Linked DNA regions of Callithrix jacchus. The protein of the gene in region 4 purifies or fractionates together with the protein of the main gene of each other region. This does not show direct contact. Links are inferred from orthologs where the notes say so. Each region holds a gene or a part of one and is shown on either strand. Other genes may lie near its edges.

The links.
Region 1: the proteins of ZMYND8 (region 4) and TSPYL1 purify together in Homo sapiens (affinity purification with mass spectrometry; 4 studies listed by BioGRID and IntAct, counting the BioPlex papers as one, with this or other methods). This does not show direct contact. The link is inferred for Callithrix jacchus from reciprocal best matches to the Homo sapiens genes ZMYND8 and TSPYL1.
Region 2: the proteins of ZMYND8 (region 4) and CSNK2A2 purify together in Homo sapiens (affinity purification with mass spectrometry; 6 studies listed by BioGRID and IntAct, counting the BioPlex papers as one, with this or other methods). This does not show direct contact. The link is inferred for Callithrix jacchus from reciprocal best matches to the Homo sapiens genes ZMYND8 and CSNK2A2.
Region 3: the proteins of ZMYND8 (region 4) and MTA1 purify together in Homo sapiens (affinity purification with mass spectrometry; 3 studies listed by BioGRID and IntAct, with this or other methods). This does not show direct contact. The link is inferred for Callithrix jacchus from reciprocal best matches to the Homo sapiens genes ZMYND8 and MTA1.
Region 5: the proteins of ZMYND8 (region 4) and MTA3 purify together in Homo sapiens (affinity purification with mass spectrometry, with the first as the bait; 3 studies listed by BioGRID). This does not show direct contact. The link is inferred for Callithrix jacchus from reciprocal best matches to the Homo sapiens genes ZMYND8 and MTA3.
Region 6: the proteins of ZMYND8 (region 4) and ZNF687 purify together in Homo sapiens (affinity purification with mass spectrometry; 4 studies listed by BioGRID and IntAct, with this or other methods). This does not show direct contact. The link is inferred for Callithrix jacchus from reciprocal best matches to the Homo sapiens genes ZMYND8 and ZNF687.
Region 7: the proteins of ZMYND8 (region 4) and MTA2 purify together in Homo sapiens (affinity purification with mass spectrometry; 3 studies listed by BioGRID and IntAct, with this or other methods). This does not show direct contact. The link is inferred for Callithrix jacchus from reciprocal best matches to the Homo sapiens genes ZMYND8 and MTA2.

The regions. Positions count from the first base shown.
Region 1 is NC_133505.1:122,618,785-122,623,017, reverse strand, and holds the start of TSPYL1 (testis-specific Y-encoded-like protein 1), read left to right. Parts: upstream 1-1,433; 5' UTR 1,434-1,531; coding exon 1,532-2,818; 3' UTR 2,819-4,233.
Region 2 is NC_133521.1:16,079,386-16,083,394, forward strand, and holds the start of CSNK2A2 (casein kinase II subunit alpha'), read right to left. Parts: upstream 2,801-4,009; 5' UTR 2,431-2,800; coding exon 2,327-2,430; intron 1,884-2,326; exon of another isoform or gene 1,710-1,883; intron 1,535-1,709; coding exon 1,423-1,534; intron 1-1,422.
Region 3 is NC_133509.1:140,274,664-140,278,928, reverse strand, and holds the start of MTA1 (metastasis-associated protein MTA1), read right to left. Parts: upstream 2,801-4,265; 5' UTR 2,733-2,800; coding exon 2,705-2,732; intron 1-2,704. Other genes in the region: uncharacterized protein LOC128928889, read left to right, coding at 2,801-3,185, 3,661-3,795. UniProt on the Homo sapiens protein: Transcriptional coregulator which can act as both a transcriptional corepressor and coactivator. Acts as a component of the histone deacetylase NuRD complex which participates in the remodeling of chromatin.
Region 4 is NC_133506.1:42,544,432-42,548,623, forward strand, and holds the start of ZMYND8 (MYND-type zinc finger-containing chromatin reader ZMYND8), read right to left. Parts: upstream 2,801-4,192; 5' UTR 2,741-2,800; coding exon 2,727-2,740; intron 1,551-2,726; exon of another isoform or gene 1,525-1,550; intron 1-1,524. UniProt on the Homo sapiens protein: Chromatin reader that recognizes dual histone modifications such as histone H3.1 dimethylated at 'Lys-36' and histone H4 acetylated at 'Lys-16' (H3.1K36me2-H4K16ac) and histone H3 methylated at 'Lys-4' and histone H4 acetylated at 'Lys-14' (H3K4me1-H3K14ac).
Region 5 is NC_133515.1:72,273,362-72,277,498, forward strand, and holds the start of MTA3 (metastasis-associated protein MTA3), read right to left. Parts: upstream 2,801-4,137; 5' UTR 2,771-2,800; coding exon 2,743-2,770; intron 1,102-2,742; coding exon 1,034-1,101; intron 1-1,033. UniProt on the Homo sapiens protein: Acts as a component of the histone deacetylase NuRD complex which participates in the remodeling of chromatin.
Region 6 is NC_133519.1:11,187,414-11,190,913, reverse strand, and holds the end of ZNF687 (zinc finger protein 687), read right to left. Parts: intron 3,128-3,500; coding exon 2,951-3,127; intron 2,842-2,950; coding exon 2,679-2,841; intron 2,549-2,678; coding exon 2,219-2,548; intron 2,105-2,218; coding exon 1,992-2,104; intron 1,800-1,991; coding exon 1,658-1,799; intron 1,520-1,657; coding exon 1,025-1,519; 3' UTR 392-1,024; downstream 1-391. UniProt on the Homo sapiens protein: May be involved in transcriptional regulation.
Region 7 is NC_133511.1:119,871,046-119,875,331, forward strand, and holds the start of MTA2 (metastasis-associated protein MTA2), read right to left. Parts: upstream 2,801-4,286; 5' UTR 2,423-2,800; coding exon 2,395-2,422; intron 1,646-2,394; coding exon 1,578-1,645; intron 1,226-1,577; coding exon 1,132-1,225; intron 1-1,131. Other genes in the region: EML3 (echinoderm microtubule-associated protein-like 3), read right to left, coding at 3,443-3,646, 3,744-3,874, 4,147-4,245. UniProt on the Homo sapiens protein: May function as a transcriptional coregulator. Acts as a component of the histone deacetylase NuRD complex which participates in the remodeling of chromatin.

The DNA.
Region 1 (4,233 bases), on a different chromosome or scaffold from region 4:
AAATTTATCTTATAGTGCTGGAGGTTATAGGTAATAACCTCAAGGTGTTGGCATTCCTTTGGAGGCTCTAGGGTAGAATCTATTTCCTTACCTTTCAAGCTTCTAGAGGCTACTTTTATTCCTAGGATCCTGGCTCCTTCCTCCATCTTCAAAGTCAGCAACATAGCAATTTCCCTTTCCTTGCTCCCCCTCCTATTTTCCACCATTTCTTCCCTCTTTCTGTGCTTTTGTCCTTACATCTTCTCTGACTGACCCTCCTGCCTCCTTCTTAAAAGAAATATTGTAATTCCATAGGGCCCACCTGTATAATCCAGAATCATCTTCCCATCTCCAAATCTTTAACTGAATCATATCTGTGAAGTCTTCTTAGCCACATAAGACAGGCACATCTTTGAGGGCCATCAGCCTACTACCACACAAGGCAAATTAAGTGGAAAATAATGTTTGCCTCTTTTACACTTTGAGTCAACCAGCTGCATGTTGCTCTTTGCAAGTTTGTTTTCTACTTCAAGGCCACATTGGTTGTCCATTTTAATTAGCCTTTCCTCACAAAATGGTGGTATGTGGCTCCCCCAGCTGATACTTCTCTGAGGCCTTGTAACTCTCTAAGATAACACAAGTTTAACTCACAAGTTAACAAACGGGAACACTTCAACCAGAGACATTGACCTTCCTCTCTAATACTCTTAGCTGATTGCTAAAGACAGATGCCTCATTAGAGCCAAACATTCCTATCTTACTTAACTAAACATAATAAATTAAGTTTATGGGGCCGGAAATAGTTATCATTTCTTCTTTCTTGCAGTGAGGAGGCATGGAACAACATTTAGCAAATTGATCCTGGCTTAATTCCTACCGATATTATGCAGCACAAACTCTTATTTGATGGAGATTATAAATCGAGAATTAGCAATGAATAATACGCATCGCTTTAGTGGTAAGAAGCTGCTGAGTAGCTTCCCCCCACCCCCAGTAATGGTAAAGGCTAGACTTTATATTTTTATGTCACTTTTACTAAGAAGGGGAGAAACATTTTGCTATTCATCTTAGAGAAGCTTTTTGCTCCTAGTTACATGGAGTAACACGGAATAGATTTGCCTTCCTGCCTTGAAAAAAGTGAAGACCGGAAAAGCATTTGTTTTGAGACACTTAAGAGCAGGCACTGTTAGGGCTGTGATTCTACAACTGCTCTCACATGCTGGGGGCAGTCTCCAGATTCATCTCAAGGTGGGTCGTCACAGCTTCCAAACTAAGGACGATCTACATTTCTTTACGTAGGTAAAATGACTGTTGCTATGGGTAAATTCACAGAAGTAAAGCCCAGAGAATCCGGTTGGCTGGCTGGAAGAGGCGGAACCAATTCCGGGCTCAGCAAGGTCTCGCGATACCGTGAGATCTGCAGGCCTGACGACACCGCCGCAGAGACTTCCCTCAGACCCGAGGGTGGGCGGTGCGAGCGGCAGTTACCTCCGAGCGCTGCTTCTCTGAGGAAAACGGGCGTTGACCTGAGGTCGGTCCGACTGTGACCAACATGAGCGGCCTGGATGGGGTCGAGAAGACCCCTCCCGTTCAAACGCACAGCATCCCTATTTCTGACGACGTCTCGGGCGACCCGGACGCACGCCAGTGCCTGAGGCTCCGCGACAAAAGCGAGGCGACACAGGTGATGGCGGAGCTGGGTGAGGGAGGCTCGGAGACCGTCGCGCTCCCGCCCCCGCAGCCTTCAGAGGAAGGGTGCGTACCCCAGGATCCCGCGGGCCGTGGCGGTACTCCCCAGATCCGAGTTGTTGGGGGTCGCGGTCATGTAGCGATCACAGCCGGGCAGGAAGAGGGCCAGCCTCCTGCCGAGGGCCTGGCAGCCGCTTCTGTGGTGGGGGCAGCGGACCACAGCCTGAAAAAGGGCGTTCAGGATGGAGAGAAGGCCCTAGAAATCTGTGACGCCGAGAGGTCCGCGTCGGAGCTGACGGCGGGGGCGGGGACGGAGGCTGAGGAGGTGAAGAGAGGAAAGTGCGCCACTGTCTCAGCAGCCGTGGCTGAGGAGGAGAGGGCTGAGGTGGTGGTGAAGGAAGGCCTGGCGGAGGAGGAGGTAGTGGAGGAGCAGATGGAGGTAGAGGAGCAGCCGCCAGAAGGTGAAGAAGTAGAGGCGAGGGAGGAGGAAGGGCCGTGGCGTCTGCATGAGGCTCTCCGCATGGACCCTCTGGAGGCCATCCAGCAGGAACTGGACACTGTGAATGCTCAGGCCGATAGGGCCTTCCAACAACTAGAGCACAAGTTTGGGCGGATGCGTCGACACTACCTGGAGCGGAGGAACTACATCATTCAGAATATCCCGGGCTTCTGGATGACTGCTTTTCGAAACCACCCCCAGTTGTCCGCCATGATCAGGGGCCAAGATGCAGATATGTTAAGGTACATAACCAATTTAGAGGTGAAGGAACTCAGACACCCTAGAACTGGCTGCAAGTTCAAATTCTTCTTTAGAAGAAACCCCTACTTCAGAAACAAGCTGATTGTCAAGGAATATGAGGTAAGATCTTCCGGCCGAGTGGTGTCTCTTTCCACTCCAATTATATGGCGCAGGGGGCATGAACCCCAGTCCTTCATTCGCAGAAACCAAGACCTCATCTGCAGCTTCTTCACCTGGTTCTCAGACCACAGCCTTCCAGAGTCCGACAAAATTGCTGAAATTATTAAAGAGGATCTGTGGCCAAATCCACTGCAATACTACCTGTTGCGTGAAGGAGTCCGTAGAGCCAGACGCCGCCCACTAAGGGAGCCAGTTGAGATCCCCAGGCCCTTTGGGTTCCAGTCGGGTTAACGTTTGCCCTTGGGAATACTCCTGCACAAGGTCTCCTACCACCACCTGCTGGACCTGTGCTTGGGCAACAGAAATGGTATGCCTTCTACTGTGTTTTGTTTTTGCTGACTTTTCTGCACCCTCTTTCCTTTGGATATTCACTTCTCTCAACCTCAAGATTGAGACGGTGGTGGGTATGCTTCTCCACTTCCATGCTGTTCTGGAATATCACATGCTACGACGCCATCCTTCAGACTACTAAGCCAAGCAAATGATACTGTAGTTGGTACTGCCTTTATTGGTACTGCTTGGACCCTGTTAATTCCCAGGGCCTCTGAACTGGTTGCTATCACCTGGATTTCTAGCTTTGGGAGCCTATTCTATCTACTTAACACTGCATCGGGCAGTATGGGCACATGGCCTGTGGACAGTTACTGAACGTTAATGAACTCAGAGGAGAAAAGCAGTGGAGCTACTTGTTCTGTGTGATTTATGGTACTTCATTGTTCTTCCTTCACCTCTAATCACTCTGTTGCTACCTGCCCTGCTTTGGCTGCTGCCAAGGTCCCTCTCTCCCTCTTCCTTTTTGCTCCTATTTCTCTTTTTCCTTTTTTTGAGACGGAGTCTTGCTATGTCGCCCAGGTTGGATCTCCGCCTGCAACCTCCGCCTCCGGGTTCAAGCGATTCTCTTGCCTCAACCTCCCGAGTAGCTAGGACTACAGGCGCGTGCCACCATGTCCGGCTAATTTTTGTATTTTTAGTAGAGACGGAGTTTCACCATGCTGACCAGACTGGTCTCAAACTCTTGACCTAGTGATCTGCCCGCCTCAGCCTCCCAATCCTGTCTCTTTAAAAAAAAAAAAAAAAAAAAAAAGTAAAAGCTTGGAAATATTTGTAAAAGCAAACTTTAGTTTATTTTGGCTCTGTCATTTTCAGAGACAAAGAGGTTGTCCTGTAAAATACAGCTCTTATTGCTCCCCCCACGCCCCCTTTTCTCTTCCCAACTTTCTATCCCTTTTATCAACTCCTAGAATACTTAAAGGGAGACACATCTGGATGGAATGAAATGTGAGATCTAGTTTATAACGGATGGAAGAACTAAAGAGATTGTGATGGGTGCACTAAGCAGGGAAAACTGAACAAACGGCTAGAGGCATGGGCCAGGTAAAAATTGGGCCTAGAATGAAGACTGAGCTGAGGAGGAAGGAGTACTTACTCCCCAGTGGTGATGAATGGAGAAATACTTTTCTCAGGATAGTTAAAGGATAATTGAAGGGGTTAAAGTGTTAAATTGTTGCCTAGACAAGGGTTCTTTAAAGAAACACAGTGCAACCTTGAATGCTTGCTTTCTTCTTTTGTGACCGAATTTATGTGGAAGATTGTTATTTTACTAGGATTTTGTAAAATCTTATTTTTTTGGTTCTGCTTATTGTGAA
Region 2 (4,009 bases), on a different chromosome or scaffold from region 4:
TCTTGCAATTCTGCTCCTTCATCACTAGGCTAGGATGTATTGAGTGATGGAGTTGATCATTTTTCTGAAAGGTGATTACCAGAAAGCTAACATTGACCCCTCACATTAAACAGGGATTACCTATACAGCTGCCCTAACACACAGAAACAGCTTTTCAATACCACATTCTTAGTCCACAGAACCTCTGCAAAAGGGCCACACTGGAAATCACATGTATACAAAAGTGCTTACATTACTCTTCCATCTTCTCAATCTCTCACTGAATGACACGTGCCCACATGAAATAATCTGGCAATAATGAGGACCCATCAAAGATTCTACCAATTACTTTTTACCACACCCTATAAAACATTATTAAAGCTACACAATTAATCTTTTACCTGAAGGAAAATTTAGCCGACCCTTCATGCTCATTAAAATCATCTTCATCAAAGAGATAACAAAAGCACAGCATTATCAAACTGAGATCGCTAAACCATATGTTAAGAGTTTTGTTCCAGTGATTACTTTAGAAATCATAAGTGAATTCTATATTTTTACTAGCTGATAAGCAACAAAGGCTCTCTGGCTTTCTAACAAGGCTTCTCAGCCCTACTAGTGCACTATATCCACGCCACCTGAAACTTTACTGCCAAAGAAGAAAAAACAAGTGATTATCCACTAAGGAATTTCCTTCAACTTGGGCTCGCAATACATCTCTGAAGTCACTCCAGTTTTGTCCAGCTTTCTTTATGGAATAAGGTAGATCACGCACCAAGAGTAACAAACAGTGCTCAAGGAGACCTGAAATTGAGAATGGCTTTTTGGTCTTTTGAATACCTATTTATTTTCTAACAAATGGAGCCCTTTTGGAATTTCTGCTTTAGGCACCTATAATTTACATTTTAGAACACCTTCCTGAACTTAAGAGTTGGGCTTAGATTTGTGACCAGTCTGCACATTTCCTTGAAAGTTCACAGGAAAATGGGGTGGAAAAAGAAGTAATGAAGGGTCATCAGAGAAGTAAAATTTGAGTGTGGGCTGGGCACAGTGGCTCATGCTTGTAACCCCAGCAACTTTGGGAAGCCTGCAAGGAGTCGTTCTGGAGGACTGCTTGAGCTCAGGAGTTTAAGACCAGCCTGGGCAACATGACCAGACCCTGTCTGTACAAAAAAATTTTTTTAAATAGCTGGGCATGATGGCATGCACCTGTAGTCCCAGCTACTTGGGAGGCTGAGAAGGGAGGATCACTTGAGCCCAGGAGTTGAAGGCTGCAGTGAACCATAATCTGCACTCCAGCCTGGGTTACAGAGTGAGACTCTGACTCTAAATAAGTAATTAAATTCAAGCTTGCACTGCCCATTCTAGAATGTGACTGGGGTAGCTTACATCCTTTTGCCCTGTGGGGGAACAAATGTTATTTATCACTCATAGGACACTCACCTTGAGGATTTTTACAACCACTCTCTCATTGTTGGTGATGTTAATGGCCTCAAATACTTCACTATATTTTCCCCGACCAAGTTTTCGAACCAGTTGGTAATCATCTTGATTACTGTAAAAGGTAAGAGACAGACACACATAAATGCCAGGACTGGGGGTTAGCCAAGCCTATGCCCACTATACACGTCATCCAGCCGCTTCCGCCAGGCAAACACTTGGAAGTGTCTACACATCACGTCACAACTCATTCCCTAAATGAAAGCCACGACGTAATCTTGGCTCCCTTCACTCTGCAGAGCTCCTAACCTAACTGGTCTCTCCTAACTTGGGAAGATGGGGTAGAAAGGCAACGCTCTGAGCCAATCCAGAGGGGCGAACAAAGCACCCGTCCTGAAGGCCTAGAGGGTGCCCCCTCTGCCCCGCGGCTTCACAGCACCTGCTTCCCGTTTCACACCCTGAAGGTAGACAATCCCTGTTTTAAAAATGTGGACGTCTTTAAGAAATTTCCTCCCACTACCTCATCTCAGAAAACCGAAAAGGCAGAGAATTTTAATAGCTCCAGAGGACAGCTGTTGACTTCCCACCCTAGTGGAAACCCAAAAGTGTGAGAAGGGCTGCTCCCTCACTTCCACCCAGCGCCGATCCGTGCACCCCACACTTCTCTCCGAGTAAAAAAATCATTCCTTGGGGGAAAGGGGTGCGCAAAGCGGGGAGAAAGGGACGAAACCGGGGTAAAGGGGAGGGAAGAGGAAGACGAGGACATGTGCGAGAGCGGGACCTCTGTCTCCAGCGGGGCCGCGGAGGGATCGGCGGGAGACACCACCCCGGCCGAGTGCGGGTCGCGGGGGGCGGCCGGGCGGAGACAGGGGTCAGCGGGCCCGGCGGGGGACGGCGGCGGCTTTACCCCCAGCTCGGGACGTGAGACTCGTAGTCCCAGTACTCGCGGCTCCTCAGGCTGTTCACCTCGGCGTAGACCCGGGCCCTGCTGCCCGCGGCCGGGCCGGGCATGGCGGGCGGGACCGGGGGGCGGCGCGGGGCGCAGAGGGTGGCGGCGGCGGCGCGGCGGAGGGCGCGGGGCGGCGGGCGGAGGAGGCGGCTGGCCGCCGGGCTCTGGAGAAGGAGGAGGAGGAGCGCGGTAGCGGGCGGCCGCGCCAGGCCGGGCCCGCGGGGGCGGGCGGGCTGGGGGCGCGGGGGGCGCCGGCCGAGCCGGCCCGGCCCTGGAGCGGCCGGCGGAGCGGCGGGGCGGGCGGCGCTCGCGCTCCGCGGCGGTCTCCGCTCGGCTCGCGGCCCCCAGGAGGCGGCGGCGGCGGCACCGGCAGCGGCAGCCACCGGCCGGGAAAGGGGCAGCGGCGGCAGCAGCGGAGAAGAAGGAGGAGAGGAGGAGGAGGCGGAGGAAACCCGGAAAAGGGGCCGCGCTCACGGGGAGCGGCCGCCGCCCGGCCTGGGGCCGCCCAGGCTCACAGCGCCCCCTGCAGCGCGGGGGGACCCGCCGGGCGGTGCCGACCCCGCCCCGGCCCCACCCCAGCACGCCCCGCCCCCTCCCCCGCGCCCTCCCCCACCTTGGCCCTCCCGCTGCCCCAGGCCGGGCTGTCCAAATCGCCTCACCCTCCGGCTGGCCTTACCTCACGCCACAGGAGCCCCCACTTCCACTGGCCGTTGCCTTAGAACCCTCCCCTTCGAGTCCCGACCCTTTCAAGATTGTCGGTGGAGACCCTGCCCCCAGCTCTGCAGTTGCCCAGCTTTTACCCCCACACACCTCCCATACCCTCTTCTCGCCCAAACTGTCAAGTCTCTCTCCAGGGCCTCGCTCAAACCTCAGAACCTCTCCCACCTCAATACTTCTCCCTTCCCCCGAGACGTACCCCTCCTTCCCCCTCTGGACCCTTCCCTGTTCCCGCAGACTCCTCAGTCCCCAAGACTTCCCACCCTCTTCATTCAGAGTCCTCCTCACAAAACCCTTATACATTTCCCCCAAAAGCCCCTCCAGAGCCTTCCCTGAGAACCCTCTGAATACCCACTTTGGTCACTTGGTTAAGCTGGAGTCGGCCAGGTTGTGCCACCGCAAAGTTACAATTTTTCCCTTTGTGATTAGTAAGTCGCTTGTGGGGAGAGACGTTGAGAGTCTGTAAATCTCCTGTTTTTGTTGAGGAGGAGGGAGAGCAGGAGAATGTAAATTTGACCTGAAGGGACAGACTGAGATTGGGTATGCACCGGGATGGGTGGCCAGCTGAGCTGGCCTGGCTTCCAGTGTTGCCTGCGGCCCTGGACACTCCTCTCTTTTGACATTCTAGGCCCTTCTTCTGACTTTCTTTCTCATCCAGCATCCTTTCGCGACACAACCTCTTCACCCAGTCCAGGTTGCTCTGATTCCAATCCCTTTTCACATTCTGTTTTCTGGATGAAACTCTGGGCCTTCCTCCTTGACAAAGCTAAGAGCACAGACTGTGGAGTCAGATCTATCCAGTACTGCTGCTTACAAGCTGTGTGACCTTGGGCCAATTATTCAACCTCTCTGTTTCACAGATTCTACAGCATAAAATCAGTAATAGCACCCACTTCACAGGGCTGCAAGGAGAACTAAACAAAA
Region 3 (4,265 bases), on a different chromosome or scaffold from region 4:
GGCCAGGGCACTCCGCGAGGAAGAAACAGGCCCTGTTCCCTGCCGGCTCACTGCTTCAGCCAGCTCAGCTGGCACAAAACTGCTGTGGCCGCCACACCTTCCCCTAGCGAGCCCGACCTGGCAGGGCCTTGGAGCAGCCTGCCAGCTAAAATGTGGGATGCCCAGATTAACTATGATCGTCAGATAAGAATCTTCTGGGATAAGCATGTCTCAGGCCATATTTGGGACATACTTACACTAAGAAATTTCTGTTTATCTGAAACTCAAATTTGCCTGGGCGTCCTGTACTTTTCTGTGCTAAATGTGGCGCCTCTATGCACAAGGTCCCTGCAGGCACACAGGAGCAAGCCCCTTCCCAGGCTGGGTCCCTGCAGGCAGCTCCCACAGGCCAGGGCTGGCCGCCCAGACAGGGCCCATGCCAGGCAGCGGGCGACAGACACACGAAGGCCACTCAGGAGACACTGCACACCTTCCTCTGTCTTGCCTAGGGGCTCAAGAATCCAGATGCCCCCTCCCCGAGTGAGCACCAAGACAGGAAGCCAACCTGCAACATCCAGCCCACTGCCACCACGGGGCCCTGCCAGGACCGCAGGACCAAAGCCGGGATTCCCGTCCAGAAGCCAGGCATAAATGCCGCTTCTCCTGTAGGATGATCAGGACAGAGAGGGGGAGCCCTAGTCTTGCCAGCAGGGAGAGGACGTCCTCGGGGCAGCCACACGGGGGGCCTGACAGCCCCGAGTACACCCTGGCCACAGTGACCACGGACTGCACACACAGAAGCAGCCGGATCCCACGCCTGCCTGTGCTGCCAGCAGACGGCACCCAACCTCCGTGCTCCTCATCCCAGGAAGAGAGCAGCGGCATCTCTGCCAGGCACAGTGGGCCCTTCTGCAGCAGCTTCGGGGTCCAGTCCACCCACCCTCACAGCACTGGTGCACTTGGGTCAGTGAGGCCCCAGGACGGGCCTGTGGGCATGGGGTAACAGAGGGTGCGGGGGACAGAGTGTCACGCAGCCCCACTCAGGGCTCCTCCCAAGCCTGTGCAGCACCCAAAGGGGCTGCAGCTCAGCGACGGGATGAGCAGGGCCCTGGCATTCTCAGCCACTGGGCACAGGACGGCTGAGACACAAGGTCCTCACCCACACCAAGGGGAAACCAAGGCACAGGAAGGTGGAGGGGGCGGCCAGGCTGGTGCCAAGTTGACAGGCAGGGGGGCCTGAAGGCCAAGCACGCAGCCACTCGCCACTGGGAAGGCATGAGCCGGGGTCCAGGTAGCCCCAGCCCTAGAGTCCAAAGCCGCCTTCACTCCCCACCCCCATCCTGGGTGGGGGCAGGAAGGGCTCTTCTTGGGACCAATCCCAAAACCATGCGCAGTAGGCCCAGCTGAGCCAGGCAGTAGGCATCCTCTGTACCAGGGTGAGAAACTGGCCCTCATGTCAGGCTGGAAGGGGGTATCCAGGTGGGGAGAAAGAACAAGGAGGAGCAGGCCCCTCCCACGAGGGACCCCGCACCCAGGCTGATCCCTGGGCAAGGGGTGGGCCCAAGCCCACCTGTGTCCACACACGGACCCGGCAAAGGTGTGTGAGGCTGTGGGAGGGGCAGCCGCGGGATGGAGAACAGGCCCACCGCCCCTGCAGAGGCCCGGGGCCGCGAGCTGCTGATGCGGACTGAGCACCCATGTCACAGACGGACGGGTGTAGGGGGCTTCCACCGTCCCCAAGGTCACAGGGCTGGCCGGTGGGACCACACAAACGTCCAAGGTAGCAGAAGCCACGCTCGAGGGACACAGAGCGTTCTGGGCACTCGGGGCCAGGGCAGTGGGGACCAGGCCAGCGCGGCAGTGACCCCAGCTCCCTGCAGCAGCGCAGGCTGCAGGTGGGGGAAGTAATGGGCACCTGCCGAGAGGGTCACCGGCAGGGAGGGGTCTCAGAGTCCCGGGGAGGGGGGCGCTGACGGAGTGATGGAATGCGCGCGACCCCCCACCTCCCTGTGAAAGACCCCACGGAGTCCCAGGCACACGAAGTAGGGCAAGGCCCAAAGCTGCAGGCCCAAGGGGCCCGAGCAACAGGAGGCTGGGCCCAGGGAGGCAGTCCCCGGCCCCGGCCCCGGCCCAGGGGGCCCTCCGGCCTCTCCCCAGCCCTTGCAAAGCGCCTCCCGACTGGGCTGAGGTGAGCGGGAGGCAGGGAAAAGTTTGGGGGGACTTGGAGGCGTGCTCCGGATGCTCGCTCCCCGCGGACGACCCCCGAGGGAGCCCTGCTGGGGGAAGCCCCGCGGCCAGGCTGCAGGAGGGCTCTGGGGAGGAGCGCGGGCCCTCGCCGGGGCTCCCCATCCCCGGGGCGATGCACCGGGGTCCCAGCACGGGCCTGCGGGCCGGGGGAGACCCCACACCCCACAACTCCGGCTCCCAGCCCGGCAGCCGGCGCCTCCCAAGGCCACGTGCTCCCGCTGGGGGCTCCCGGCCCCGGCCCCCCGATGGCCCCGCCGCCCGCGCCCCTCCCCGCCCCCGCGGCCGCCCCCTCCGCCCCAACAGGTGGGCCGCCCCCCACCCCGGCCGCCGCGCCCCGCCCGCCCCCGATGGGGCCGACCCGCGGGGCCATTTTGGGTTGGGGCGAGCGCGGCGGGGGCTGCTCGGGAAGGGCCGGGGCCGCGGGGCGCAGGGGCGGGGGCGGCGGCCGGGGCCGGGCATAAAGGCGGCGCGGCCTTACCTCCGACCCTGTACATGTTGGCGGCCATGTCCGGGCCGGCGGCGGCGGCGGAGGGGCCCGGGGCGGGCGCGGCGCTCGGCGCGGGCGGCCGGGAAAATGGAGGCGCGATGGCGGGGGCGGGGGGCGCCGCGGGCGTTTAAAGGGGCCGCGCTGCTGCCGCCGCCGCCGCCGCCGCCGCCGAGGCCGCCGAGGCCGCGCAGGGACGGGAGGGCCGCGGCGCGGGCGGGAGAGGAAGAGGAGGAGCGGCCGCGGGCGGCGGGGAGGGGCCTCGGGCGCCACCGCCCACCGCGCGGGCCGTTACCGACCCCGCGCCGCCCGCGGCCCGCGCGCCCCTTCCCGGGGCCCGGAGTCCTCCCCGCGCGCCGCTTCCTGGGTGGGCCCTTCCAGCCGCACTCCGAGCTAGATCCTCCCCTACTGCCCTGGGGCCAGGGGGGTCCTCCACAGGGGCCCCTTCCCTGGGGACCGTCCCGGTGCCCCGCAGGTGAGTCCTGCCGTAGCTCTCCAGGGCTTCCTCGTGGTGCTGGGGTCCTCCGCACTCCTCCCTGAGCCCCCCAAGGGCCCTGAAGCTCAGCGGCCCAGGCCTGGCCTCGGGGTCTCCACTCCACAAGTTCCTCCAGGCCTAACCTTTCCCCCCACCCTAGGGAGTGTGTGCCCTTGGCCTTCGCCGCCCAGCCCGCCTGGCACCCTGGACAGGTGGCCATGAGTGCCCTGCTGTGGGCAGGCCCCGTAGCTTGCAAAGCCTCCTTGAACTGTGACCTGGTGAGAAGGCCACAGAGGAGGTGCCTGTGCTCAGAGGCCACCTCCAAAGTCCCCATCTGAGGCTGGAACCCAGCACCTGCCGACCCTGCCAGTCCCAGCAGGGCTGGAGTCCAGGAGGGCCGCACTCTCTCCACAGTGGGGCAGCTGCCTTCCTTCCAGCCACCTGTCAGGATGCCTCCCTGTGTGTTTTCGCGCAGGTCTGAGGATAGGAGAGTCCAGTGACCCAGACGCCCCAGCCAGGAAGAGCATGAGGCGGGAAGGGGGCTTCCCAGATGGAGAGAAACAGGTGGTCTCAGAATGGCTTCGAGATGGGTGCAGCCTCAGTTTCGGAGGTGAGGAAAAGCAGGTGTCTCATGGCTCCAGGCTGCTGATGTGAGCAGCACCGTGGGTCACGGCCCTGCCCGCTCAGATGCTGGAGGTGGGTGCGTGGCTGGAAGGAGCTGCGGTCTGTCTGGGACATGCCTCCCTGCAGGACATGGAGGGAGCCCTGAGGCTGCGGTGCAAGATCTAGGCAGGTGGGACGGACGTGGTCAGGGTGCCGGGGAGAGAGCATGGGGACCCCAGCCCGGCAGGCAGGGAACAGCATGTGCTGGGAGGAGAGTCAGGTGGGGTCCAAGGAGAGCAGGGCCACAACGTTATGGCTGCGGAGCGGACCAGAAAGGAAAGCCCTGCCAGGGTTAGCACAGGCCCGGGAACTACAGGGCGGTCGTGTCTCCGGGAAGAGAGGGCTGTGGGTCCCAGGACCCGTCCTGTGGGCTGCAGGGAACAGGAGCTGGCTTGCTGGTGATTGGGTGGGAAGAGG
Region 4 (4,192 bases):
AACCTTTCATCCATGTCTATTGGTTTAAAAGCTAGAGTAGAAACCCCATTGGGCTGCTCTGGGAGCCAGCACTGCCGTCCCTACCTAGTCATGCTGCAATGCAGACATTTATCCCCCACCACCACCACCACTTCCTGAAACTGGAAAATAATGCTACTTTGAAAGCAATTAACTTTTTACAGACTCATGCTTGGTGGGGGCCACAGTACGAGAGGAAAAGTGGCTAGCTTGGTCCAGGGTTGGGAACTTGCTGGGGGTTATACATTTGAAAACAGATCTTGGCTCTCCAAACCTGTGGGAGCCATTTTAATGCAAGCTTTTAGAGGACAAATGCCTTGCCCTGAAGTTCCCTTCCAGCCCAACAAACACAGTATTATGCAAACGTTGAAGGCACCAAACCAGGAGTCTTATGATTAGACACTGCTTCTAGGGAGGCCACAGGAACCTCAATATGTAATCTCCATTTACATATTGCAAGGAGATAAGAACAAAGAAAAGAGCTGAGTGTCTGAACTTACTTGTTTGGGGCAGTGGAACTGCTCAGTTTTAAGTATATAACATCATGAACTGCCTGCAGTTTTATTCTAAGAAGCTAAGCTGGCCTGCCTTGCACAGACTTTTCTCAACTTAGAATGTGGTACATTTCTCCTGATTAAATGAGCCTTTTTCCAATTTGATGTCAGAAAGTGGGCTACTGGACACTCATTTGAAAGAAAAAAGATTACTGACTCCATAAAGTTGACATAACACAGCAACTGAATATATATTTCCTGCATTTACAGTCATGCCGGATTGGTCTCCAAGCTGAAAATTTACATAGAGAACTTCTAGGGAAATTCTGAAGGTAATGCTAAACAAGACTACTTTTTCCACTTAACTTCTAGCTGCAGCCCAAGGAGAGCAAGGGAAATGTAAAAAGAGAAATCTTATGTGAGGCCAGCATGCATACAGATGTGCAGATCAGACCTGGAAAAAGGTCGAAATGTGTGTCAGTGAGTCCTGAATAAAACACAGACTGGTGGTGGATGAGATTTTGTACTATATATATAAAAATCCTAAAACACGAGCACTGACAACCACCCCCCCAAAACACACATACCACCACCACCACCACCACCACCAGCTTCTGCCCCCTCCCCTTCCCCCCCACCCCTGCAGTATTTTTAGGTCTCTGCACCTCTAAGCACAAACAGTTTCATTTCACAAGCACATCACCTACTCACAGGTTGAATATCCAAACAAACCCCATTAAAGGTCTAGAGTCAAGTCACAATGAACTGAACATTTCTCCCTGACTGGGGGTAAACAGGAAGTGTAATCTTCAATCCTAGCTGCAGGTTATCAGGGAAACCAGTGGATTCAAACAGTCACCTAAAATCAAGACACTCTTTAAAAGGCCCTTGTTCTGTTCCTGCTAATGAAGCCCCCAACTCCTGTAGCCAAGACCCCCTCTTACAATCAGACCCCGAATGTTCACAAAACTCTTCAAACATGGTCACAGAGGAAATGGATTGCTTTACTTACCCAACAAATGTTCAAGCAACCGTCTCATTTTTCCACAGTTAGGAAGAGAGAACAGGCTGGCAGATTTGGGACTTGATCAAAAAGGAAATTTTTTTAAACAGTTACATGGTATTATTAAAAACACACAACAACACCACCACAACCCAACAACTGAATATGGAATGCTGTCAGGAGCCAAAGACATGATTTTATTTCCTCTACACTCCATCACACAGAACAGAGGAGGATACAATGTATAAAAGGGAGAGGAAAAGGAAAAGGGTAAAAGGTAACATCAGTTCCTTGAAAAATCATGCAAGAGTGGAAAGCTAAGGGATTCAGAGACCTTGCAGATTTTTTCCTTTTCTTTTTTTGCAGGATGTTGTCCAAGATCTCTCTCCCCCCACCCCCCAATCCCCATCCCTACTCCAAAAACTTCCTCCAACACTTTCAGAAACATTTGCTGGCTGTAGGCTGGCTTGCAGAACACTGTAGCAACCTAAGTCAAGAAAACAGGCTGAACAAAGTAGTTTCAAGTGCAGAAGCTCTTAGAATAAGAGAAGCTCCGTGTACAGACACCACCACCCACCTAGGCCCCAGGAGCTAGACTCTCCTTAGCACTGCTCTGCTGAGGGCTCAGTTCTTTTTGCAAACACGCTCCTCTCTTGTCAAAACTTATCCAGCCTTCCCAGAACCTCTTTGGAGAGGCAAACTTGCCTGCTCTGCTGTCTGCCATGAGCTCTCCTTGGAGAGGAGCCTGCTTGCTTACCTTCCATTTTCTTCCCCCAGCAGGGCATGTGGCAAAAGAGAAGACAATAGTGCAGGGAGGGAGGGGGGACTGCTCAGAGAGAGAGAGAGAGAGAGAGAGAGAGAGAGAGAGAGAGAGAGAGGAAGAGAGGGAAAGAAAAAAAAAGGAAAAAAAAAAGAGCTTCTTTTTTGGCATACCAGGATCTAGCTTCAAACTCTTCCAGAAACACCATGTCCTGGTGGAAGGAAAGGTGTGCCAGGCCCTTGCCAGTTTGCAAAATCAAGCTATGGCTAATGGCTACTGAGCCATGTGACCCAAGAAAGCAAAAAAAATTCTCTCTAAACAGTTCCAAGTTAACATAAGTGCTCTGGGGGTGAGTGTGGCACGGCCAGCCACAGAGAAATCACACTGCTCGCCCACAATTCGGATGTCTCAGAGGGAGGGGGAAAAAAGATGGTTAAAAAGTCGAGCTTACCTCTGTGGATGCATTGTTAACACTGTGTAATGTCAATACTTATAAAACATGGAGGACAGGCTCCTAGTTCTCACAGAAAAAGGGTTTGGCACTTCGGCTGATGATCTGGCCGCCTAATAAAAGCTCATCCCCGATTGGCTGCCCCGGCAAATCGGAGTGTAAAGCCGCCCCGGATTGGCTGAAACACTTCCTGAGCGATTATCTTTGTGAGGCTCGGGTGAGCAAGAGCCATCCTGTGCATAGAAAAAGACAGGCTAAGCTAGGCCTTTTGCAGCAAGAAAAACTTGGGAAAGGGGCCCCCACACGCACTTCTCCCACACCCTGGCTAGATTTCCGGGCACGGGCCAGCCAGGGCAGCCAGCCTGACCTGCTCCAGGGAAGCCCGAGGCCCAGATGCCCCTGGGAAGAGAGTTTCTTGAGGTGGGCTGGGACGGGTCACCCTCACCTGCCCCCAGAGAAACGGCTCTTGTCCAGGGAGGAAGGCCAGCCCTTTTCTAGAACAGTCCAGCAGGGTAACTCCCCAAGGGGAAGAGGAAGCTGGGGAGTGGGGAGGCCAGGGGAAACAGCCAAGGGAGCCAGAAGAAAGGGCTTGAGGCAGGCCTCTGAGGAGCTGGGGGAAGCAGGCAGCCCCGGGGAGCCCCGAAAAATCAGCAGAGAACATCCCTGGCTTCTCAGAGGAGCGAGGAGCCGCTGCTGAGGGGAGGAGGGGAGCAGAGTGGTCAAGTTTGCATAGTCATTGTCCCCATGCCTCCTTGCAAGGCAGGCCAGAGAGCAGTGGGCCTCTCACCCTGCCCAGCCAGCCCTGCAGGCAAAACCAACGCGGGTTCCTGCCTCCCTGCCACGATGCCAACGGGGGCCCCTCTCGGTCCTTACCCTAAGAAAAGCCCAAAGCCCTCCTGGCAGGCCACATGCCTGGATCTACAAACTTCCCTTCCCTCCCGGCCCCTCCCCCACGACCGAGGCCTGCTAAACCTGTCAGTTAAACACAAATCTGACTTCCGTATTAGCCTAGGATGCCTTCGGCTTCCTGCCTGTTAACCCTCACTCGGACTCAGGGCCTGGCTGGGAAAAACTAGGCCTTGAGATCGCAGCAAAGGCCTGTGGAAAAATACCAGCTGCAGCTCTGCTGGCAGATGCAGACAGAGAGAGAGAGAGCCGCTGTCTCTCAGCCTTTGCTTCCCAGGGAGGCGTGTACCTTGTGAATCCAGGGCACAGGCAGTGCCTCTCGGGCTGAGAAGCCATTTCAATCCAGAGGGAGACAGAAAGATGGCATGCTCAGCCAGGAAACAAGAGCCCCCATTATGCGTCAGGCCTACCCCCGTAGGTCAGCCCTTCCTGCCACAATCATCCCTGTTATGTGTGAGCCTGGGGGAGCTGGGCCCAAGTCGGTGAGCAGACAAATCCCTTGGGCTTCCTAAGGATTCTTGCTTCCATTTATTTGCACAGAGAATGCTTCTTCTCGTCCC
Region 5 (4,137 bases), on a different chromosome or scaffold from region 4:
AGAAGAGGAAAATATTAATTCACTAAAAAGGGAGACATACATATTATGACTCTTTTTTGTTTTTTAGACAGAGTCTTGCTCTGTCGGCTACTACAACCTCCGCCTACCAGGTTCAAGTGATTCTCCTGCCTCAGCCTCCCAAGTAGCTGGGACTACAGGTGCCCACCACCACCTCTGGCTAATTTTTGTAATTTTAAGAGAAATGGGGTTTCACCTATCGGCCAGGCTGGTCTCGAACTCCTGCCCTCAAGTGATCTGACTGCCTCAGCCTCCTAGAGTGTTGAGATTACAGGCATGAGCCACTGCACCTGGCCCATGATGACTCTAAATATAAAAAGGGTCTGAGTTACAGAAGTAAACTGCTCTTTCAGAGGCTCTAAGCAATTTGAAGAAATCTGCAGACTTTTAAATATTCAGTAACAGAAAAAGCAAAAGAATATTAAGAATTCGGAATCCTGCGTAACTCTCTAAAATCTCAACTTTTTTTTTTTTTGGAGTCTTGCTCTCTTGCCCAGGCTGGAGTGCAATGGCATGATCTCGGCTCACTGCAACCTCCACCTCCCAGGATCAAGCGATTCTCCTGCCTCAGCCTCCTGACTACCTAAGATTACAGGTGCATGCCACCATGCTTGACTAATTTTTTGTACTTTTTTAGTAGAAAAGGGGTTTCACCATGTTGGCCAGACTGGTCTTGAACTTCTGACCTCAAGTGATCCACCTGCCTCAGCCTCCCAAAGTGCTAGGATTATAGGCATGAGCCACTGCACCTGGCCTAAAACCTCAACTTTCAAAGTGTCTAGGACTGAAAGTAGAGCCACCTCTTATAATCTTTACCCAGTTTATTTTTTATTTAATTTTTAAAAAATAGAGATGGGGTCTCACTATGTTGCACAGGCTGGTCTCCCCCTGCCCACCGTCCCAAAGTACTGGAATTGCAGGCAAGAATCTCTTCGCCAGGCCACCCTCTACCCAATCATCCGTCAAGGAAAAACAAATATTTTTAATATTAAAATTAAGAACACTAAATGTATACCTTGTTGAGTTCTTCTATCCTTCTTATTAGGTATGGGTTGCTGGAGGAATTCTCAAAGTACACATAATCTGTAATTAAAGGAAATACAGAATTTAATCTTTTCAACAGAAAGCTCAGATTTGTCAGTCCATGACTTTTAATGTTAGGCAATTCACATTTGAAATTAAGCTCATAATTCATTCACTGGTAAAAGCAAATAGCCTTAATATATTCTCTTATCTGCCTACGATTCACAGACCTTTATTTTCTTGGCATTTTCATTTCAATTAACGTTTTACCAGGTTCTCCTAGACTTCTGTCCCAATATGTCATTTCTTTAATAATAAACAAAAAAGGCACCTCTTATCACTGTACAGTTAGGGCACACTAAACATGTGTCCTCTGTACTGTAACTACTTCCACATCTTTTTCCTCCAATCCAATTTGCCCTGGAGGCTGCTTCTCACATAAAACTATTGACCTAAGACATTCAGAGCACGGAGAAAGGCTTCACAGTCCAACCTACATTTCAATCACTACTTAAAAAAAAAAATCAGGTGAGCAGAGCAGGTAAGAGGAAGAACGCTGACAAACTTTTCCACAGCTCTGTCTGGAAAGATGAGAAAACAGGGGGGCCAAGGGGATCACTTCTAAGAGGGAAAGTGCTCTGGGGGTGATACCATAATGTTTTTTAGCCTTTTACCATATTTAATCCAAATCTATTTAATGTCTTGTGGTTAAGAAATTGCCGCAGGCTTTCAACTAAAAGGATAAAATTTTTCAAGTGTGGCTTTTCGTCTCATCTAATAGGCTCGCTGGAAACTTCCCACTGTGTGTTTATCTGAAAGGCAGGGCTGTGCTGTTATTGTCTATCTTAGCGGCTCTTTCGCGGCTCTCTTCTGCAAAGTGGCCTCATTTAGCCAGGCGATTCCTACTACTATCCATCAGAAGCTCGGCTAATGAGCAGAGAAGGAAGAGCCGGTCTCTCATACAAACACGCCACTTATCTGAATTATTATTTTACCAGGAAAGAGGGAGGAGGGCGTCTTGAGTAGGGAGAAAGTTTGTTTGACCTTATTTCTCTCTTCCGCAGAAGACTGGGAAGGAGGCAGGCAGCAGAGCAAACGTCCAGGCAGAGCTCAACTCCCCACCTCCGGCAGAGGTTCCCAGGCCCTACGAAGCCCCATTTGTGGGGGGCTGGACCAGAAACGAAACGAGGGAGGCGAGGAAGGGGAGGTGCAGGGCCCCGTCCCGCTAACAGGCCCGTCCAGCTGCGCCCCTGGCTGGGCCCCCACCCCCACCCCAGGCTCCCACTGAGGGGAGAAGGAACAGGGGAGGGGATGTCCCCCCATCCTCTCCAGCGCCTAGAAGCCACGCAAGGAGACGGCCACCTTCTCAGGGGGCTCGACGGGCCCTACTCCCATGAAGGTTTCGTGGAGGGGGGGGCGTCTGGTCATTCGTACCCCCAAGTAGAGGCCTGGCCCTAAAGACGAGGTGGGGTGAGAGGGTGAAGGTGGCCCCAGCTCCTCGCAGGCCACCGTGGGGGGAGGGGAGGGAAAAGGTGGGGGTGGGGAGCCCCGGCCCCTCTGCGGGCCCCGGCGCCCCCGTCCGCTGCGCCCTCAGCCCCCGCACCCTTGGCTCCCGGCACTTCGCTTGCGCTCGCCCCGGCCCCCGCCCCCCGCTCCCGGAGCCCGCTCCCACACGGGCCGGGTCGGGCCGAGCCTGCCTACCTCCGACCCGGTACATGTTGGCCGCCATGTCCGCCCGCCCGCCCGCGGAGCCCGAGCCGAGCCCCGCCCGCTGCCGCCGCCGCCTCCTCAGCCTCAGCCTCGACCGCCGCTGCCGCCGCCGCCGCCGCCGCTGCCTAGCCACCGGGGGGAAGGGAGGGAAGGGAGGGGGCGGGGGAGGGGGAAGTGAAGGGGAGGGGACGCCGAGGGGTGGGGGCTGGTGCCCGCCCCCAGCGCCAGGCTAGCGAAGCCGAGTGGGCCGGGCCGGGCCGGGGGAGGCCCGAGCGCTGTGGGGCCAGCGGGAATTGGGGGGAGGGAATGGGAAGCGGGAGGGAGAGTGGGGTGCCTTGTTGGAAGTGGAGGGCCCTGGGGCCAGGGTCCTGGCCGAGGCGGAAGTCTGGACTGAAATGCGGACCAGGGGCTGTTAGAGAATTGGAGTCGGGGCTGGCGCTCAGCCTCTCCGCAGGGCCTCTTGCCCCACCCAGGGTATCCCATCACCTGCCCACCCCGAGACAGGTCCTCCTTCCCTGCTTCCGTCCCTGAGGAACCCCCGTGTGTCTGACCTAGTAGGCAAGCGCCAGTCTCAGTGCAATCTCTTGGATGCAAATAAGTGTAAGCAGCAGGGTTCCTTCCTTCTGGTGAGGTCCACGGGGGCGGCCTGGTACCTGCAGGTTCTGGGGCCAGGAAGACCCCACGTAGTTCCCGCCTCGCCAGAGACCCAGCCGGGGACAGAGCTAGAAAAACTCCCTTCTAGGCCACCCTAAATGCGCCATCGTTCATCCCAACTGAGCAGAACCAACTCTCCAACACCCAGATACAGGCCCTGGCTCTAGACAGGCCCTATTTATGCAGTGCCTGTTCTTCTGGGATAAGGGACCTTTAGGATTGGGGGCTTCCTTTGTCCATGGGGGAACAGGACCCTACAGTTCACGATCACCACCACCCCCAAGAAGAGGAGATGCTGTTCAATCAGCTTGATATTGATGGACACTTAACTGGTTATGTGTCTAAAGCTTCTAAATGGTTATTGTCGCAGGCCAATTCTCTAAACAACCTCTGTTTTCACGGCCTTCCTACTCTCACAGAAACAACAACAAAAAAAAATGTTGAATCTTAACTGGCTATCCCCCAAACGACCAAAAATAACTTTCTTTAGAGAAGACAGTCCATTCCAAAGTACTCCCAGACATCACTGCATAATAAACATGAAGACGATTTACTGGTGTGGTGGCTTGTTTGCAATGTCTTGTGATACACAGCTGTGTGCTGCCAACTTGAGTTTGAGGTGTGTGCGGGGGTAAGAGGTGCCCCCAGAAAAGAAGTTGTGTTTTGGTTGTTTGGTGGTGACATTTGTGATGGTCCCTTATCACAAAGTATTGATATGAAAAAAGTGTTCTG
Region 6 (3,500 bases), on a different chromosome or scaffold from region 4:
GGTTCCCCATCATGGACAAGGAAGGGAATTCCCACAGCCCTCCAGTGTACTGAGGGTACTGGCCTAGCCATGGGGAATTCCCTACCCTGACTCCTTCCCCAAGTCCAGGGAAAAGAGCTCTCAATTTTTTATTTTTAATTTTTGTTTGAAATAAAGTCCTTAGTTAGCCACTTGTGTCATTTCCAGGTGTTTTGGGGGAGTGGGGCGGGAGATGGGTGATGAGGCGTGAACGGATGCCCGAGTGTCCAAGATGCAGAAGGTACCACATAGAAAGAGGCTTGCTTTTCCCTGCCTGGCTTGGTCACCACCACCGCTTCTCTGAGAAGGAAAGGCCTCCCATGCTCTGACTCTCACCCGCTTCCTGTCTCCAAGTCACAGAGAGAGGCCTGAATGGAGATGAGACCACAAGCAGTTTAATGGTCTGGTTTTCTCCCTAGTTCCCCCAGTTAGTATTATTACTATAAGAATAAAGGATTCCTGAGAGCCTGTCCTCTCCTGTCCTGTGGCCCCCTTGACAGGACTCATCCCCACCAACCCCCCCCCCCCCGATTTCTGGGGAAAAAAAAAGAAGTGAAAGGCACTGCAGGGGTGGGGGGCTTGAGTGCCAGCAAATTGATAGGGAGGGGGCACTAGGGCAGGGCCTGGCCCAGAGGAGGAAAGTTCCAGTCCGTGCCTGAAGGAATTGTGGAGGGGTGTGTCCCTCCGTGACACCCCCATCAATCCTTCCCCGAACCTGTCTAGCAGGCACACCTAAGTCCCATCCTCCCACCCCCAGGCCCGCACTGGGGATTCTGCAGCAGGAGCATAATTAGTGTTAGGCTCAGAAAGGAGGAACGGAGGGTCCACGCTACTAGGACTCCAGGGCCAAACCCAAAGGGAGGTTGCAAGTTAACTAGAATAATCCTCAAAAGCTTTCCTTCAGGTTGGAGAGAAATTAACAAAAATGTTAATGAAACTCCCCAGCCCAGGGACCAGGCAGCAGCAGGGAAAGCCAGGCTCCCAGAGGTAAGTCCCAGGCTTGGGCCTAGTTGTCCCCGACAGCCCCCTGCCGAGCCCTGATGAACGCCATGCCATGCGTGCGGAAGTGGGTCTTGAGGTTGAGAGGGCTGTCGCAGCTTTTGCCACAGACCTTACAGGTCAGTGGGCCTCCCGAAGCTGGCAGGGGTGAGTCTCCACCATCGGGGTCAGACCTTGATGGAGGGGCCTCGTCCTCCCCATCCCCCAGCCCCAGGGCACTGGCTTTACCCACACCCCGTCTCTTCTTGTGGCTGATGAAACGGTGCCGGTTCAGGGAGCCAGGGGAGGCAAAGCACAAGCCACAGTCGAGGCACTGCTGGGCGCCACCCTCCACCCTCAACCCCACCAGAAGGCTCTGTTCCATGGAGCCACTGCTCCGGTAGCGCAGGGGGCCATGGCCTCCAGATCCAGGTCCACCCCTGGGGGTCTTGGCGGGCGGTGTTGTGCTGTCAGGCTCTTCACTGCAAGAGTCAGAAGACTGGCGGCGTTTCCGACCTGGTCCCTGAAGAAAAGTGGAAGAAACGGTCTCACCACCACTCCCACTGCCCCTGGTACCCCTCCCTCACTTCCTGCGGCCACAGATTCTACCTTCCAGTTTCCTACTCAAAGCCCTAACACAACAGGCCAGGCCCCTGCCTACCTGGGCTCTGGCACTGGGACCCCGAGCCAGGGTGCTCCCCCGGCCAGGGGACTGGGCCCCAGGTGGCAAGCCGTGCCGGACCTGGACATGTTTCTCCAGGATCAGGCGGCTGCTGAAGGTGCGTTTTCCCTCTGTGCAATACCTGAAATGGGAGAGGGCAGGATGGCAGCAGGGGCATAGCCCGAAGGCCAGGGCCCTTGCTCCTGAGGAGGGGCTGCTGGAGCAGAGGGAGACCTGGTCAGGCCACTGAGACCAACTGCGGGTTCGAAGGTACTCTGGCATATGCAGGGGGTCATGTGCTGGGCAGGAAGAGGAAGTGGGGAGTAGGAGTTACCTGCAGGGGTAAACTCGCTTGATGCCCTCGTGATTGACCCTGACATGGCGCCTCAGGCTGGGGGCAGAGCAGAAGGAGCGCTCACACAGACGACAGGGAAACTTTTTCACTGACTAGGAGAGCAGGGGTAGATGTCAGAGCCAGGCTCCAGGACCCCGTCCCCACTGTCACACCGGCAGTCCCAGTGCCACCCCCGGCCCATGGTACTCCCCTCGAGGCCCACTCACCTTGCCATGCTCCTTCTTCATGTGGCTCACATACTCGTCACGCTCAGGGAACCAGGAGTGACACAGGCCACAGGTCCAGCCTCCAGGCCCCCCACCCCCACCCTTGAGGCCTTTGCTCCCTAGTTCCCGCCGGGGCCGTTTGGCTGGACGGGGGGGCTCAGGGGAGCTGGGTACTTCCTCCTCTTCAGAAGATGTAGATGACTCCTCGGTAGCAGGGGCTGCCCCTCCCTGAGAAACAGCCAGCTCCTCGGGCTCAGCCTTGGGGGTCAGCAGGGCACCCCCGGCCCCTTTCCCAGCAGTCTCCTCCAAGCGCCCAGACTGATGGGTGTTCTGTTAGAGGAGACAAGGGAGGTGGCTGCTGTGGGGAAGGCCCTGGCTGTGCCAAAGCCCCCCACTTACGTGGCCCCAGCCCCATGTCAGTACAGCTAAGCACCCATTCCCCACTGCTCTGCTCCTGTACCTTGAGATGTTCTAGCATGGTCCTTTTTTGGGCAAAGAGCAGAGGACAAGACGGGCACTTAAAGACACTGACACGCTGGGGCAGCAGGTGCTGGTCGAAGTGTGAGGAGAGGAGGGGTTTGTGAGTGAAGACTGTGTCACACATGGCGCACTTGTAGATCAGCCTAAGGTGAGCACAACACAAACGTCAGGCCACGGTGGGTGCAGCCCCTCCCCTCTGCCCCCAACCCGCCCTCCCCATCCCATCCCAGCCTGCCCCTCCCTAGGCCTCACTTGGCCTGCTGCGTTTGGAAGCTGGGATGCTGGGAGTAGAGATGGGCGTGGGCGCTGGGCCCAGACTTGAAGGCCATAGGGCAGATGGGGCACTTGTGGAAAACCTCGCAGTGCGACGTCTGGATGTGGGACTTGATGGAGTTCACACCCCCAAACACAACTGAACAGCTGGGGCACCTGGGGAGGAAGCAGGAGGCCCTGTGGTAATGAGGGAGGCATCTCCATGCCCATCCCAGCACCCCACACTTTTTCTCCAGGACTGGGTAGACTCCAAGAAGGAAATCAGCAGTGGAACATGAGCAGGGTGGAGAACGGGGGGAGGTGCAAAGGCCATTCCCCAAGGGAGGCTGCCGAGGCAGAGCTGAAGCTCCAGAGGTGGCCCTCCTTCCCCCCATCTCTATGTCAGGAAGGCAAGATGTACTATTCTCAGGGTTGAGTTCCCCAAAACGACAGGGCTGAGGGATACAGCAGGGGAGACGGGGGTGTCAAAAGGCTGTCGAAGGTTGAGGCCAGGACACATGAAACCCTACACTCTGGAGGAAGGGTCCAA
Region 7 (4,286 bases), on a different chromosome or scaffold from region 4:
CAATTTCAGGAGATTCTGCTCTAAAACATCACATGTGGCCCTAACTATCCCTCATTTTCTAATAATAGTTCCTGGGGTTTTCAAGGACAAGACCTCTCAAGCTAGTGGCAACACCTTCCTCCCCAAGGAGCTGCAGCTTGCCCTGAAACCTTGTGGAAGGGGTTAACCTGGCTAGGCGCCAACCAACGTGGGAGGGGACAGAAGAGCCTCAGGCCCAGGCTCATTGGTGCATTGTTCCCAACCTCAGGGAGAAGGGGGGTTGTGCGGTAGGCTCCACCCCTGGCCTATGTGCTCCGGAAACCCTGTGCTAAGGCAAGGGGGACCACACCCCCAACACTCATTCTGATTGGACAAGGCCAAGGTCAGCCCCTGCCAGATGGGGCTGGAAACCCTAAAGGGCCAAGGAACTTGGTAAGCCGGGATCCTTCTTAACCCCTTCTCACCCAGAACAGTCTGAAAAAGGAAAATTTAGAAAGGTGGAACAAAAGGAAGGAGAAAGAAAATCAAAGCAGGAAAGGAAAAAGAAGCTGAGGAAAACATGTTTCTTTGTGTTGTTTTTTTTTTTTAAAAAAAAAGATGAGAACTTAAAGAGAATGAAGACAGGGCAAAATGAAAAGGGAAAGATGTAAAATGGAGTGGGGGCCGGGAAATGGGTGAGGTAAGAAATGAAAAGTACAAGAAAACTTTCCTACCATCTTCCAGCTTCCAGGTATTCCCACCACCTTGTGATTACAAAATGAGCCTACTTCCCTGTTATGCGGGCCTCTCAGAACAATCTCTTCCTCTTCACCTTGACCTTCAGTCACCACCTACTGTTCTAATGTACACCAAACTGTCCCCCTTTAGAAAAGCATTCTGCTTCTCTGAAGTTCATCCTCATCCCCTAAATAAACATTATCATCTCTCTCTTACACTCATACACAAACCATATTATAGCTTTCCTTATCACAATCTCTCCACCCTGCTTCCAACCCCAACGTGTAAAAACAGGCCTCCCTCCTCAGACCAGGTATTTCCCACCCCTAAATTCACACCTCTGCCTTGGGCATGCTACCAGGAGAAACTCCTGCAGGGACATGCCCAGGCCTCAGATCATGGGGAGGGGGAAAAGAAAGAGATGAAGGTACTCACTGGCATTACTATCAGCCAGGCTGTTGAGACTACTAGAAATGTCCCTGCGCCGGAAAAGACAGACAACCTTTGCCTCCACATTTCCATTTGCAGTCTAAGGAGAGAAAAAAAAAATGTAGCAGTGAAAAATTGATCATCTGGGTACAGAAATGCACAGAGACAAATAACAGTAAGTTTCAGAGGAACCTAAATAAAAAATCCCAAGAAAATAGGAGTAAAGACTTACATTCAAGGACAGACTTCCAAATCCCTTTCCTTTGCCCCCAAGAGACAGAATAGTAAGTTCCTGCTAAGCTCTCAATAGCCTTTCCTGAATACATCCAATGAATGAATGAATGAATATGAATAGATACTTAGTATAGAGTCCTCTCTTCCACCAGAAGTTAGAAACCTCAGAAGAAAGAGACCACTGGGGGAGGGAGGGAGAGGGATTCTGCTCCACTCACCTTGTTGAGCTCCTCAATCCGTCTAACCAGGTAAGGATTGCTAGAGGAGTTCTCAAAATAGACGTAATCTGTAAGGGAGGGGAGGGGGAAGAACCACGAAGATCAGAGGACGAGACGGGAGACACAGAGCACGAGAGTAGGAGAGAAAGTTGGCCTGAGTGGACCAAAAGAAGATAAAGATCCAGGTAGAGAGGGCGCTGAGATGTGAAAGTGGAAAGACTAAGAGAAAATAAGGATGTTCCCCATCCCCACCACGCCTAGTTCTAAAATCGGATCCTTCACAGAAAAGTGAGCCTTAAGGAACAGGCAAGAAGCAGGGGTTCCCCTGCGTCCCCACAACTCAGCTATGAGTTGCAGCCCAGTCGCGGCGAAGTCATTGTTCACGCTGGCGCTGGGCCCCCACCTTTTCGAACCGAGGCGCACAATAACGCCTGGGAAGAGGAAATCTCCGGGCGGCTCCCCCGCGGTGGCAAAGCCGTCGCCCCAGCCCCTCGCGTCGCCTCCCTACCAGGTCAGCTCCTTCTGAACCAGTTTCCAAAGCCCACTCTGTACCCGGGGGAGCCCCCGACGCAGCCCTGAGAGTGCCGTCGGGGCTGCCCGCAGCTTCTCTCCGGGAGTCTCGGCACCCTGCCGCGTCGCGGTCGCCGTTCCCGCACCCTCACTTCCCCGCTCCCAGTCTCCCGGTTCCGGTTCCGGTCCGCGCTCGGGTCCACGCTGCCCCAGACGCGGCGCCCCGCGCCACCAGGTGCGGAGTCCCTCCGGTCCCGACCCCAACATCTCCCGCCCCGGGCCCCGCACCCCTGCGCCCGGTACTCACCCCCCACCCGGTACATGTTGGCCGCCATGGCCGTTCCCGCCGCCGCCTCCGGCCGCACAAAGGGGTCCGGAAGGCTCGCGGAGGCAGGGCTCGGCTCGAGGCAAAGCCCCGAGCGTGGGGCTGTAGCTTCAAGGGAGTCTCAGTGGGGCCCGCGCAGCCGGCACCTCCACTGCCTCAGCCGTCGCGGTTCATCCCGGCCCGCGCTGTCGCCGCGGCAGATATCGCCCCACTCCCGGGACGCTGAGGCCGGCCCCGGTCCGCTCGGCTTCTTCCGGAACGAGCTCGGCTCCTGCCAGGCCAGAGCTAAGCTCCAGCTACCCCCGCCCCCGCCGAGTCCCACTAGTCGTTGGGATCTGCCGGCCGCAGGGAAGGCTTGCCCGGCCCGCCTCGGGGTTCGCCTCCTTCCGGAACACCTTCGGCCGATCCGGAGAACAAGGCCCACCGTTCGGCTTAGGTCGTAGAGCGAGACCCCGCAGATCGGCTACTTCCGGAAGAGGTTCGGCTCCTGTCGGCCAACAGCGGCCCGGCACTCGGCTATTTCCGTCGCAGCTCGGACCCACCCCATTTTTCCGAGGGCGGGAGAGAAGTCGGACTTAACTGTGTACTCGCTGGGTCCCTGCAGCTTCTCCTGCCGCCCCGAAAGACTCGCGCGCCTTCGCGCTTAACCAGGTTATTTGCAAGCGGCTTTGCCTGTTATTTGCATAAATGGTCTACGCTCCCTTACCCTTTCCGCACGCCTCTTTTCCTTCGTCCCCACCCCACAAGGCCCCGGAGGCCCCCAGCAGCGCCCCACAAAAGCACCGGGAGGCGACTTTGGTTCTCGTTTATTGCCCCTCAGCAGGCAGCGGGAGTCAAGGCCTAGGCTGGGGCTGCCCAGCTCAGCCAGCGGGTCTAAACAGTGTGTGCAGGGGCGCCGTTCGCGCCCTCCAGGGAAATGCGCGATCGGGAATGTCTGGAAGTCAGTCGAGGAGTCAGCCCCGGGTCTAAAGGAACTAGGGCGGGGCGGGGCGGGTCCACGCCTTCAGCCAGTTGGTCCGCCAGGCCGAGATCAAACGTCAAGGGAGGAGGCGGGGGACAGGGAGGGGGTTCGAGAGGGCGTGGCGGGCGCTGGCCCCGCGCCCCCTGCTCCCAGCATTCGCCACTGGAAGATGCTGGCATCCTTGCCGCCCAGCGAGACGAGGTGCGAGTCGTCGTACGTGAACCGGACGCTGGTCACGTGGCTGCCGTGGCCACCGTACATGCGGCTCGGCGCCTGGACAGGAGGGAAGGGAGTTGCGGTGGCGGCGGAGCCCTCGGGCCCACCCGTCCTGTCCCGCCCCACCCCGCCCCGGAGGCCCCTGCGGCCTCACCTTGGCACGAGCACACGGGTACTGGAAAAGATGCACTTTGCAGAAGTCGTCAGCCACCGCCACCACGCGCTCATTGTGGGAGCGGCACAGGGAGTTGATGTCGGTCCCATCGGAGCCGTCCGGCCACACGCCTAGCACAGCGGCCGGCCTCAGCCCGACCTCCTCCCCACTGCCACCCACGGCCCAGAGCTGCACTATTTCAGGCGCTCCGGCAGCCACGGCCACCCACTGCCGCGTTCCAGGCAAGCCTTCCCGGTCCCGAGGGCCGGGGGGGGGGGGCCTCCTGGGCTGGATCTTCAGGTTTCTGGACTCCCACCCAACGACACACGCCCAGCGTTTCGAGCCCAAACTGGGCTCCACCTTGTCCCCCGCCCCTCCAGCAGGGTTCCACGCCCCTGCTCACCGTAGACGTGAAAGCCCAGCACACAGGTGTACGTAGCCCACTCCCGGTCTCGGCTCTCATAGCGATTCTTCAGCTGCTTGCAGCCTCCAGCCACATCCCCTGGGGAGAAGGAGCTCAGCTCTCACCCCGCCCTCAGTCAG